3 linked regions of the Coturnix japonica genome follow. Each later gene encodes a partner of the first gene's protein in a complex. Links are inferred from orthologs where the notes say so. Each region holds a gene or a part of one and is shown in the gene's direction. Other genes may lie near its edges.

Region 1 (3,648 bases):
GTTTGTTCTTTGTATCTTTTCTCCTGCTTTTCTTTCTTTTGCTGCCAGTTCATTTTCCTGAGCTTTCTGGTGTTTAAAAAGATGTTGTAATTAAAAATAACAAGCAGACAAGATGGCAGGCCTCAGAGCCAAGTAAACAACGGCTAGATGCGTAAGGACCAAAATCTTGCCTGTGAAATCATAGATTATTTGAGAACAGAGCATATGGAAATTGTAATGCTCACAGTGTAAAAGCAAGACTAGGGAGTTTTAATACAGAACTCTCATTGTTATAATAAATTTAATTAAAATTGGTCTAAATTCTTTTCAGTGTTGCATATAGCTTAACACTTTTAACATGCAGTTTCTTTTTATTTAACTGCCTATTATGTTTAATTTCAGGCTCTTGATGGTTTTTTTTTAGCAATTATGACAGATGGAAATATAATATATGTGTCTGAAAGTGTAACTCCTTTACTTGAACATTTGCCAGTAAGTATGAATTCCTTTCAGTAATGTGCCAGTTTGTCTGTGGGTGATATTCTACTACAAGTACTAATAATCTTTGTTCTTTTGGGCATTATAGTTGGGCAGATGTGTACGGTATTCTCATGCTTTTGCACAAATCCTTGCTCCTGGTTTGTGTTCTACATTAAATATTTCCTTCGGATATGCAGAATGCAGCTGGTGCTCTCTTAGGCAGGATTAAGTATTACCAGACTAGCGTCAGTTTCTCTTCAACATGACTATAACAACAGATGTGACTATAGGAGGTCCTTTAGAGTTCACTCCCGTAGTGGCCTCTACATGAATCAGAAGAATATTGCTAAAGAGCAGTACCTTGGAATTTTTTTTAACTGTTTTTTTACTTTTGCTTATTTGCCAAAGAACTCTCATAAGAAATGCATTATTGCTGATTCTGCTTTTTAGGCTAGGTGAATACTTTGAGTTTTGTCACATTCACTCATCTTGAATTTTGTTGACATTGCTTGCTGCTAAGAAGTTACCTTTGAATAATATCACTAAGAAATGAGAAACATTAGGTCTCAAAGATGTAGAGTTACTGAGTGAAGCAGAGCTAGAAGAGATGGACAAATAATTGGTACAGGCAAGTTGTCTTACAGTGGTAAGAGAAGAATTGATGTAGGGTTGTAGGGAGGTGCTGCTTTTTGTTACAAAATGCTGTTTGGATGTGTTGATTGCCACTGACAGATTACAATGCACTACACCACCATTATATAATTTCTCGTTTAAATGCTGCTTTATTTACCACCCGGAGAGATTAATAGAAGTTCCACTGTACTTATATGTGCATGCATATCTGATGCATTCATGGCATCTTCATTAAATGATTCAGTGTCAAAGCAAATGAAAATGGTGGTTGTTTTTTTTTACCTGCAAAGTGTTTGCATGTAATCCATCAAGTGACGGTAATGAGTTAGTAATATTTCAGTGATCTTTTTCTGAATTGATTTTGTTTTCTTTCTCTGGAATTGTTTTGCACCAAAATAGTAACATTTGTGATCTTGTATGTCTTGCGTTATTTTAAAATGTATTAAATATTTCCCTTTCAGTCTGATCTTGTGGATCAGAGTGTATTTAATTTTATCCCAGAGGGGGAACATTCAGAAATCTATAAAATTCTGTCTTCTCATCTGCTGGAAAGTGATTCATTGACACCAGAATACTTAAAATGTAAGTATTTGCATTAAGAACAATCCCCTTCATGTTGTATGTGATTAGTTCCTTTTTGCAGTGCTGTGTAAGTGGAAGTGTGTAGATGAGACATTCAGAATGAAACGCACAACTTGAATGGAAACACTTTCATGCTGTGCTGTTCCTCTTTTCCCTGAAGAGTAATTTTGTGTTGCGCGGCATTTCACTCTATGACTTTGTTTACATAGCTTCTATTTAGACCATTCTAGCAGCTGACAAGAATGAAAACAGGCCATGAGTGTTGGAAGGACATAAAGTTACGTTTTGGGCAGATGCTTGTTTAAAATGGTTCTATTTTTTTCACGGGATCTCTATGTTGTTGACATTCAGTCCTATCACACACACATTCCAAATGAGTTTTCCTTTTCTTTAGCTTAGCTAATATCACGCTGGCTAAAAGCAAAAGCTGTAGTTACTCGTAATCACCACATTTACAGCATCACAGTAAAGCGCACAACTTAATTATTCCTGCTTTCAGTTTCTTGTTCCCTGTGTGTTTCATCAACCACGCAATCTTTTAATTTGTTTGCTCTTTTTTCAGCAAAAAATCAGCTAGAATTCTGCTGCCATATGCTGCGAGGAACAATAGACCCAAAAGAGCAACCTACATATGAATATGTAAAATTCATAGGAAATTTCAAGTGTTTGAATAATGGTAAGTAATTTCAGTCATATTAGAGTGGAATACTTTGGGAGCTTCATATGTGAACAGGCTTAGGATGACAGTGCAAAACTTAAGGAAAAGCTAAAATCGGTCTTTGAAAAGAGCCTGAAACAGAGTTACATCAATTTTTTCTTGTTTTAATGAAAACAAAGTCAGACGGCCCATCAGATATTGCACATACGTGCATTTGTAGGCAAAATATTCAGTCTTTCAGTTAAAGAAAGCTGCAAAACATTTTTAAACAGAGCACGAGAGAAATTTAAGTCGACACTTTGAAGTAAGAGCCTGAATTAAGTATAATCTGTATTTAAGCAGGTGGCTAAGTTACTTCAGGATCACCAATACTAAGTATCTGCTGTTCTCATCGTTCTTAGTGAGCTGACAAGAAAAATGCGTGTTCTGCACTCCTCCCCCCGCAGTTTCTGCTTTCACAGTTACTGCTCAGATCAGTGGACGGACTGTTATAGGATTTTGCTTTTCTGCACTGAGTGACCTCTCTCATCCACTGAACTTATTAGTCATTATTCCCACTTCTGTACTACAGCATCTTAAGTTTGCTTGCCTGTGCAGAGTAGCTTGTGTAGCACATCTGTTTGGTTTGTCAGATAGGTGGACTGTGGGCTGTGCTCAGTATCTGATGCTTTAGAAAAGCTAGAAAAACAGGTCTGTAAAGATCAAATATGATGATAAATACTGATCCATTTGAGTTGTGATGTGACTGCCGTTCTCCTCCATGCCTCTGTAGTAACCTTTGCTGACCTCTTCTCTGTCTTCCGTCAGTTCCCAATTCAGCACACAATGGTTTTGAAGGAACTATTCAGCGGTCGCACCGGCCTTCATATGAAGACAAAGTTTGCTTTATAGCCACAGTTAGATTAGCTACACCTCAGTTTATCAAGGTATGCACTTTTATATCATATCAGTTTTATACATTTTTAACCGTACTCTGAACAGGAACACTTTAGAGAAAATGCATAGAGCACTTCAGATAATATTGATGGAAATCATAAGGAGTTCTGTCATATGAAACTGAAAATGTCCATATTTCTTACTACGGGAGTACTGTTGCAAGTTCCTGCAGTAGCTGAAGTAAAGATTTAGTGTATTCTGTGTCCTATTTGTAAAGCCAAAGTAAGGTGACCATCTTCATAATGGTACTTCTTCCCCATTATAAGCATGTACTGCTTGTACCGCTGTGCTTGTAGACACTGAGCATGAGTTTACCAGCTGCATTTAAATCATCTGAGTGTCGGCCTCACATGGCTGATGTTAGATTCTACCTCAGTGCT
Region 2 (4,278 bases), on another chromosome or scaffold:
GGAAGAATGATGAAAACTCTATTGTGGTGACTGTAGAACTCGCTTCAACTTGTGATTTCTTAGCTCTTGGGTGATAATCGTTGTACCCTTGAAATTTAAAGGGTGTAACAGTTGGTTATAAAAAGCCTTATTAAACTACACAAAAATTTTTACTGCACTGAACTTAAGATTTATTTTAAAGAATGTAGCAGAATGGGATTGGTATACAACATCATATGCTGAAAACCAGAATTTGATTAACCAGATGCTGTTATTTCCTTTAATTTCTCATTAATAGAAACAATTCAAAACAATCATTTACTGGGAAATATGACATATGGCCTGCTAAGCTGCTTTCCTACAGAAATAACAAAAGATCATTACTCTTGGCATCAAGCCCTACAGCAGTCACTGGGCTCATTAAGGCTGACAGTGTGTGGCTGAACGCAACAGGAAGATGATTTCTACAGGTGGGTAGAAACAACAATGAAAACTATGAAGACTTGTGAGAAAGAAGTAGTCAAGGAGATTTCTCCACCTCCGGAACTTCTGTGCACTAAACCAAATCCAAACAGTAAAACGGTTGCTAAAAGATGACAGAATAATAGAGTCGATTGTGTTGGAGTGGACTTTTAAAGGGCATCCAGTTCAACTCCAGGCTGGAGTCTCTCCAGAAGAGACTGAAGGAACTGGGGCTGTTTAGATGGGGAAAAGTAGGGTGAGGGGAAACCTTATTGCTCTCTTATAGTATCTGAAAGGTGTTCACAGCAGCCCAGGGAGGTGGTTGAGTCACCATCCCTGGATGTGGTGCTCAGGGACAGGATTGAATGGAGGCTTGTGAGGGTGGCATGGTTGGGTTGTGGTTGGACTCGATGATCCCTGAGATCCATTCCAACCTGAGTAATTCTATTATTTGATGTACAGGGGCACAGTGAGGTCAGGTTGCTCAGAGCCCCGACCATGACAGTCTCTGGGCACTGGGTTTCCACCGTATCTCTGTGCAATACGTACCAGTTCCTCACCACCCGCCTTGTTACAAACACCTTTATACCCACTATACACAATGTGCTCACAGCGATGACCGGCCACTATAACGCCCGCCACCGCCACATCCGGGACACCGCGCCCAATGCTGAGGGGGGCGGAATCAAAACTCCCGGCCGGCTCTCCGATTGGCTGCCGCTCCAGGAGCGCCCGCGGATTGGCCTCCACTCAAGAGGGCGGGCGTTGCCCCGTTGCCGGCCTCTCATTGGACGAGGCCTCTCGGGAGCCGCTCTCTGATTGGCGGGCGGGCGCGTCCGGTGCTGGTCCGGGGGAGGGTGCGATTGGCTGGAAAGTAGGTTAGTGGTGCGCCGTTGGGTGGCAAGCCAGGCGGAAAGTAGGTCAGGGACGGGGGCTGCCCGCGGCGGGTGCCGCTCCGAGCCACGCGCGGTGCCCACGGACGGCGACCCCCCCCCACAACACGGCCCGGGGCGCGGCAACGAGAGGGGGTGAGCGGTGAGCGGCGGTGGGCGGGTGGGAAGGGGAGGGGGGCGCTAACGGGCGGCCACGGGAGCGGCTTCCCCGGGGCCAGCGGGCCGGGAGGGAGATGCGGACGGAGCGGGCCGACCTGACCGGAGCAGGAGGCGGCGGGTGGCAGCCGGCCACGGGGCAGAGCGGGGCCGGGAGGGAGGAGGGGAAACGCGGTGCCTCTTCCCCGCCCGCATCCCTCCGCCCGCCCTCGTGCCCCGGGGTCTCACGGCAAAGCCGGGCCCCGGGAGCGTGTGTGCCGGAGCTACGAGAGATGGCAGCGCCCGGGGGATGCGGGCGGCTCCGGGCAGGCCGGGCGGTGGCAGCGGGTTGGGGCAGCTGCGGGACGGATCCGTGCTGCAGCCAGAACAACGCTTCCAGGTGCCGGGAAGGTCTACCCGTGATCGCGGCTGTGTGTGTGTGTGTGCAGGGAACCAGGCTGCCTGCCCAGCGGTTGGGGTTTCTGTGACTCCAGTGCCTCGACGGTGACAGTTCTGGAAAGGGTTTGGTTGAAATAACGGTGAGGAAACAAGCGGGTGTGCTTGCGAAGATGCCCGTCGTGACTTCTACATATTTGCTTGGTCTCCGAGGTGAAAAGGGTCAACTGGTGACGCGCCTAACGTTCTTAAATGATTTCGGAATCATTCTGAATCTTATATTCCCACCCTTGGTTCGCAGGCATTCGGATTGAAACTTCATTGCAGTTTCTTTCGAGCGGGTTGAATCAAGCTCCCATCCGTACCCGTTTGGTTCTGTTTTACCAATAAGGCTACTAGGTGGGAGCAACTGGTAGCGCCCAGGCTGCTGCTGTTTGCAGGGAAGGAAGGAAGGCTGGTTGGTTTCCATTGGCTGGAGCTGCCGGCCGACTGGTTCTGTGCTCAGCGTCCTGCACAAGGCTGAAGTTAAACTCTGCCCCCAAAGAACGTGTGCTTGCTGTGCTGTAGGAATATGCCAACAGCTCTTTCAGGTGGCAGAAACTGGAGGGCTCTCACCTGGATGTTTTAAACCATGTTCCGTCTATTAGGAGAAAACCTTTACTACTTCTGGGCTTTGTGGGCTGGTGCTTCTTGTGGCTATTCATGATTTTATGTCTCCATGTGGAAATGGACTGTGAAATAACAGTATGATCCAAGTATTACAAGTATTGGTATTACATCCAAGTCTGAGGCCCTCAACACAGGAAAGATGTGGGGCTTGTAGAGAGGGTCCAGAGGAGAGCTGCCAGGATGATCAAAGGGCTGAAGCACCTCTTCTACAAAGGCTGAAGGAGCTGGACTTAGTCTGGAGAAGAAGCAGCTGTAGGAAGACTCTGGCTTTCCAGTATCTAAAGGGAGCTCAGGAACAGGAGGGAAAACAACTTGTAAGACAAGTAGATAGTGATCAGCCAGGGGGAATGATTTTAAACTAAAGGAAGGAAGATTCACATTAGATATCGGGGGAGTTGCTTTACTGAGAGGAGGCTGAGGTGCTGGAACAGGCTGCCCAAAATGAGCGTGGATACTCTGTCCCTGGAGGTGTTCAAGGTCAGGTTGGATGGGGCTCTGAGCAGACTGATCTTGTGCTTGATCTGATGGTTGGCAATCCTGCCTGTGCTGGGGGGTTGGAACCTGATCCTTGGGGTTCCTTCTAGCCAAAGCCATTATGCGATTTAATGATTCTGTTCTCTTTTGTATTGCACGTGTCCATAGTCTGTTCTCATTGTAGCTGTGGTGGATGCAGCATAGAGGACTCCACATCTGTATAAGGGATACACTGGGGTGCTGCCTCTGCAGGTACTGGAGGAACCTAAGGAAAGCTGCCTTGTGTTCCTGCAGGGCCTTCTGTATATTACAGGAGCATCCGTAAATCTACCTGCTGCTGGGCTTTCCCAAAGACAGGGCCAAGGAGGGCCGGCTGCTAGATCACTGCCATTGCCAGCCACCAAGAAACATGCTATGCACAAAGACCACTGATAAGGGGGTATTAGGAAGGTCACCTTTATAGGGCTGGCTTATTGAAGGCTTCTTTTCCCACTAAATATCTACTCTCAAGGATTTCTTTTGGGAAACCAGGAAAGGGAACAAATGAACACTCACTGGATTTACTTGGCAGAGCTTTGTTATGCACAGTTCCTCGTCGCTATCCAAGGCTGTGATGACAAAGATGAAACCTAATGTGATAGCCACAGCCTGAGTGCTGCAAATGAGTAAAACCATTTCTAAAAGCAAATTGCAATCAAGCAAACTAGAAAGGCATAGAGACACATAGGCTAATTAATTTAGATGAATACATAAGTGCTGTTTCACACTCAACTTCAATATTTTCTTTCCAGCATGGAGCTGGTTGTCTGTGTGCTAATGGTTTGACAGGAGGTACAGGGAAACTGGAAGAAATAGAGTTGTCAGGACAAAGCACTGAGTTTGGTGGATCCCTCAGGGGCTTTCTTTAGTTACAGAACTTGTGTGCTTCTGACTTTTAACCTTTATCATGGCAATTCTGTCCATAGCGTACTTCTGAAAGAGCAGAAAAGTGGTAAGCATCTGGTTATATCTTCCAATGCCAGCAAATGTAGAGTTCTCTGAAAAGCTGAAGACAATTTTCTTCTACAGAAAACATGTAAAGATGTATTCCAATAATTGCAAAGACTCATATAAATACATAATTTTAAGCTTGCGTAGCTTCCTTGTTTTCAGTAAGATTACGGAACACACAGAATAACTCAAGTTTTAGTACTTCACAACCTTACGTGGGGTATGAAACTTTCACCTTATTATTCTTAGAAAACTTGAGACTAAAATAATGATTTAGATG
Region 3 (3,648 bases), on another chromosome or scaffold:
AAATGTATTCTCTATATGTGGTTTTCAGCTTTGATTCTAGTGTGTGGTTCTGTTGTCAGAGAAGAGAACAATGAGTTTGATAATAAGCTGTTCACAATATGTTATATTGTGTAGCATGCATCAGTTATGAAGAAATGATGTAATCCACCTGTTTTGCTTAAGATTTTTTTAATCATTATCAATAGCACTGCTGTAAGAATTGTGTTTTTCCCCATTTATGCTTCTCAGGGGAGTTCGTCCCAGCTCCAGTCTTGGACTGTCCAGCCATCCTTTGAAGTGATTCCAGCTCAGCCACAGCTGGTATTTCTTCACCCATCAATCCCACCTCCCATTAACCCTCACCCTGCTGGGAAAAAGAGAAACGATTCCACTAACTACTTGCCCATCCTGAACTCTTACCCCAAAATAGCACCACAGCCCTGCAAAAGAGATCACTCCTTCGATCTAGAGGAACGTCAGGAAACCAGTTGCCGTAAACGACTCTGCACAGAAGCATCTAAAATGGATACTTCTCCTGTATCAAGGAGCACAGGTTTGTCTACTAGTCCTTTTTCCCACCTACCAGTAAGCTTTAAGGCTCCTCAGGATTCTAACCAGCAAAGTTCTTCAAGTTTGATGACAACTGGAAAATTATCAACTCTTCCTGGTTTCCACTGTGTTTCTGCTGACACTCCAAAAGTTCCAGGCTTGGCTTCTCTGTTGCCTTTTGGAACTCTACAGACGGCAAAGTGCACTCCTCATGAGAATGAGAGTGAAGCACAAACTACAATGCAGTCTGCGGTGTGGAGCCTGCCATTGATACCAGAAGAGACTTGCACTACCCCTGAGCTGCTTTTGCAACAGCAAAGTAAGTGCAGACGTTTTCAGAATACACTCGTTGTGCTACGTAGGTCAGGATTGCTGGAGATCACTTTAAAAACCAAGGAGCTCATTCATCAGAACCAGGTGACTCAAGCTGAGCTGGACAGGCTGAAGCACCAAACACAACTTTTCATAGAGGCAATAAAGAACAATGCTCCACAGTCATGGGCAGAGCTAGAAGCATCTTTAACAGGTTCAGATAAAGCTAATAGCAACCTTGAAGATTCCACTTATCCAAACATGTAGTAAAATGGTACATAGCTGTTAAATTATTCCTGTGCCTCCTATTTCCTTTGTCAAGCTTTTATTTGAACGTACTGAGTCCAAGATGTGTAAGATGGCATGACATTTACAACTTGTCTTTACAGCCAGTCATGGGACTGGGGCAGCACAGTGGGATCTTGACAAGATGAATACTCACTACTCCAGTGTGACCTTGAACTTCATACTAACTCTATACTTTCTTGAACTTCAGAAGCTTGGATGTGCTCTGCTGGCATGTTCCCATTCTTGCTGTGAGAAGACAGTCATTTGCAGAATTATGCAAGCAAGTTTCTTCCTATTTCCATCTTCAGATAGTCAGTTCTGAGAGTGGCATAGCAAAACAGTCCTCAGTATTGGGCTATCACCAGTTGCAAGTAGATGATAAAGAGAGTAGGTGTGAGGAGAAGAAGCTTAGCTTGGTGGGGTGATATGAGACTGCTGACTGTTGACAGAAGTCTTGCTTTTGGGGTTACACTTGTTCTGAATTAGTGGAGATCTGCTTGTGGTGAAGCAGCATTCTGTATTTATTGCAATCTTTGACCAAAGTGATGAGTCTTAGGAGCCCAGTGACTTGATTTTTGATGAGCATACGTTGGATTGTGATCTGTAAAGATGAGTGAATGAGAATTGCAAGGCTTGCACTGCAAGTATTTGTTTCAAAGCTGTATTTATTTGCACTACCCATTAGTGACTAAAAAGTGTACAGGGAAAGTGGCTTTGGATTTTCTTGGTAGAATGCAGAGGTGTTTTTTAACATAATGCAAGGAAGATACTTGTTTACCAGGGTTAATTTGGCAAGACTAGTTAAAGGTTATTTTATGTGTAAATCTTTTGTTTGTAAGGCTGAACTCCTCCTTTTTTTTTTTTTTTTTTCTGTGAAATTGTTCCGATCTTGTTCAATATCTTCATCAGTGATGCTGATGAGGGGATAACGTCCACGCTCTGCAAGTTTGCTGACGATACGAAGCTAGGAGGAATGGCTGATACACCAGAAGGTTGTGCCAGCGAGACCTGAACAGGCTGAAGAGTTTGGCAGAGAGGAACCAGGTTAGGTTTAACAAGAGCAAGTGATGAATCTTGCACCTAGGGAGGAATAACTGCATGTACCAGTACAGGTTGAGGGTGACCTGCTGGAAAGGAGATCTGCAGAGAGGGACCTGGGTGTCCTGCTGTACAGCTGGTTGTCCATGAGCCATCAGTGTGCCCTGGTGGCCAAGAATGCCAATGGCATTCTCAGATGCCTTAAAAAGAGCATGGCCAGCAGGTCAAGGGTGATGATCTTCCCCCTCTACTCTGCCCTGGTGAGTCCTCACCTGGAGTACTGTGTCCAGTTCTGGGCTCCCCAGTACAGAAAAGACAGGGATCTTCTGGAAAGAGTCCAGTAGAGGGCCACAAAGATGATAAAGGGCCTGGAGCACCCCTCTTTTGAGGAAACGCTGAGCGACCTATTCCTGTTCAGCCTTGAAAAAAGAAGACTGAGAGGGGATTTGATCAGTGTTCATGAACATCTAAGGTGCAGAAGGCAGAGGGATGAGGCCAGACTCTTTTCAGCAGTGGTAACAGGACAAGGGGGAATGGCCACAAACTGAAGCATAGGAAGTTTTGCTCAAATGTGCATAGAGATTTCTTCATGGTAACAGTGACAGAGCACTGGAATGGGCTGCTCAGAGAGATGTGAAGACACCTTCTCTGGAGTTAAGACCCACATGGATGCCTACCTGTGTAACCTGGTCTAGTTAGCCTACTTTGGCAGGGAGTTGGACTAGATGATCCTTAGAGGTCACTTCCAGCCCTTACAATTCTGTGAATCTGTGAGATCAATTGCTAAGAATGGAAAAAAAGGAGAGAAGTGAGAGGAAAAGGGGCATATTGGCTCACGGTAAAACAAGTCCTACCATCTCCCTTCCCTCCTTTTTGAGGGAAATTTAGTAAATGTGTGTACTTAAAAATAACTATATAAAAAGATGTCAACTTGGAAAATCTTACTATAAGTTTTATCTGCTTGAATTTGAAATTAAAATTATTTTCTTCCACATAAATGTATCTCATCCCTAACCTGCTTGACATGAAATGTAGTTAAGGCCTAACATCTTATTCAGTGTTATTAGCAGACATCTGCAGTAGTCAGTTGCAAAAGCTATTCTACAGATGTCAGTTTATCTGGACACTTGTGTCAGTCCCTTCAATAAAAAGGGTTTGTATGTTTTTTACCAGAGGCAGTCTATGTAAAAGAACTAAGAGTGTCTCCCTATGAAGGCTAAGAAATATAGATTGCTTATAGTGTGTTCATTTCCACTTTAAAATGCTTTCCAAAAATTGTGCCATGTAGATCACTGGGTATTTTGATGCTCTGATCACTTCACTTCAGATTCTTAAAAAGGGTACTTGAAATTATAATAGAACTCTTGCTAGTTTGTGGTTACACCCCTTCATTTTCTGACGCCTTTGGGAATCAAGATTAGAGAAGGCTGTGGAGAATGCTGTTGTAGACTTCCTAAAATACACCTGGTAGAAAAGGTGCAA

What was found.
Region 2: the proteins of CLOCK (region 1) and ARNTL are in contact, whole or in part, in a crystal structure (PDB 4F3L), measured with the Mus musculus proteins. The link is inferred for Coturnix japonica from reciprocal best matches to the Homo sapiens genes CLOCK and BMAL1. Residues at the interface, in NP_001276755.1 of Mus musculus: Arg46, Gln49, Phe50, Leu53, Ile54, Glu56, Leu57, Met60, Leu61, Pro62, Lys70, Ser71, Leu74, Gln75, Ser77, Ile78, Phe80, Leu81, Arg82, His84, Lys85, Thr88, Glu95, Ile96, Gln98, Asp99, Trp100, Pro102, Phe104, Leu105; in XP_030097882.1 of Mus musculus: Lys70, Met71, Phe74, Ile75, Glu77, Leu78, Ser80, Leu81, Val82, Asp93, Leu95, Leu98, Arg99, Ala101, Val102, His104, Met105, Lys106, Leu108, Arg109, Gly110, Ala118, Tyr120, Lys121, Pro122, Phe124, Leu125, Asp127, Asp128, Glu129.
Region 3: the proteins of CLOCK (region 1) and CIPC are in contact, whole or in part, in a crystal structure (PDB 5VJI), measured with the Mus musculus proteins. The link is inferred for Coturnix japonica from reciprocal best matches to the Homo sapiens genes CLOCK and CIPC. Residues at the interface, in NP_001276755.1 of Mus musculus: Gln519, Leu526, Lys527, Leu530, Arg533, Ile537, Asn540, Ile541, Arg543, Gln544, Glu547, Leu548, Ile551, Gln554, Leu555, Val558; in XP_006515773.1 of Mus musculus: Asn401, Thr402, Val405, Leu406, Ser409, Leu411, Ile414, Thr415, Thr418, Leu421, Ile422, Asn425, Thr428, Gln429, Leu432, Leu435, Lys436, Thr439, Gln440, Phe442, Ile443, Thr446.

The regions. Positions count from the first base shown.
Region 1 is NC_029519.1:58,711,413-58,715,060, forward strand, and holds part of CLOCK (circadian locomoter output cycles protein kaput), read left to right. Parts: intron 1-381; coding exon 382-471; intron 472-1,553; coding exon 1,554-1,674; intron 1,675-2,236; coding exon 2,237-2,350; intron 2,351-3,139; coding exon 3,140-3,258; intron 3,259-3,648. UniProt on the Homo sapiens protein: Transcriptional activator which forms a core component of the circadian clock.
Region 2 is NC_029520.1:11,919,986-11,924,263, reverse strand, and holds the start of ARNTL (aryl hydrocarbon receptor nuclear translocator-like protein 1), read left to right. Parts: upstream 1-1,358; 5' UTR 1,359-1,476; intron 1,477-4,278. UniProt on the Homo sapiens protein: Transcriptional activator which forms a core component of the circadian clock.
Region 3 is NC_029520.1:35,438,000-35,441,647, forward strand, and holds part of CIPC (CLOCK-interacting pacemaker), read left to right. Parts: intron 1-228; coding exon 229-1,107; 3' UTR 1,108-3,648.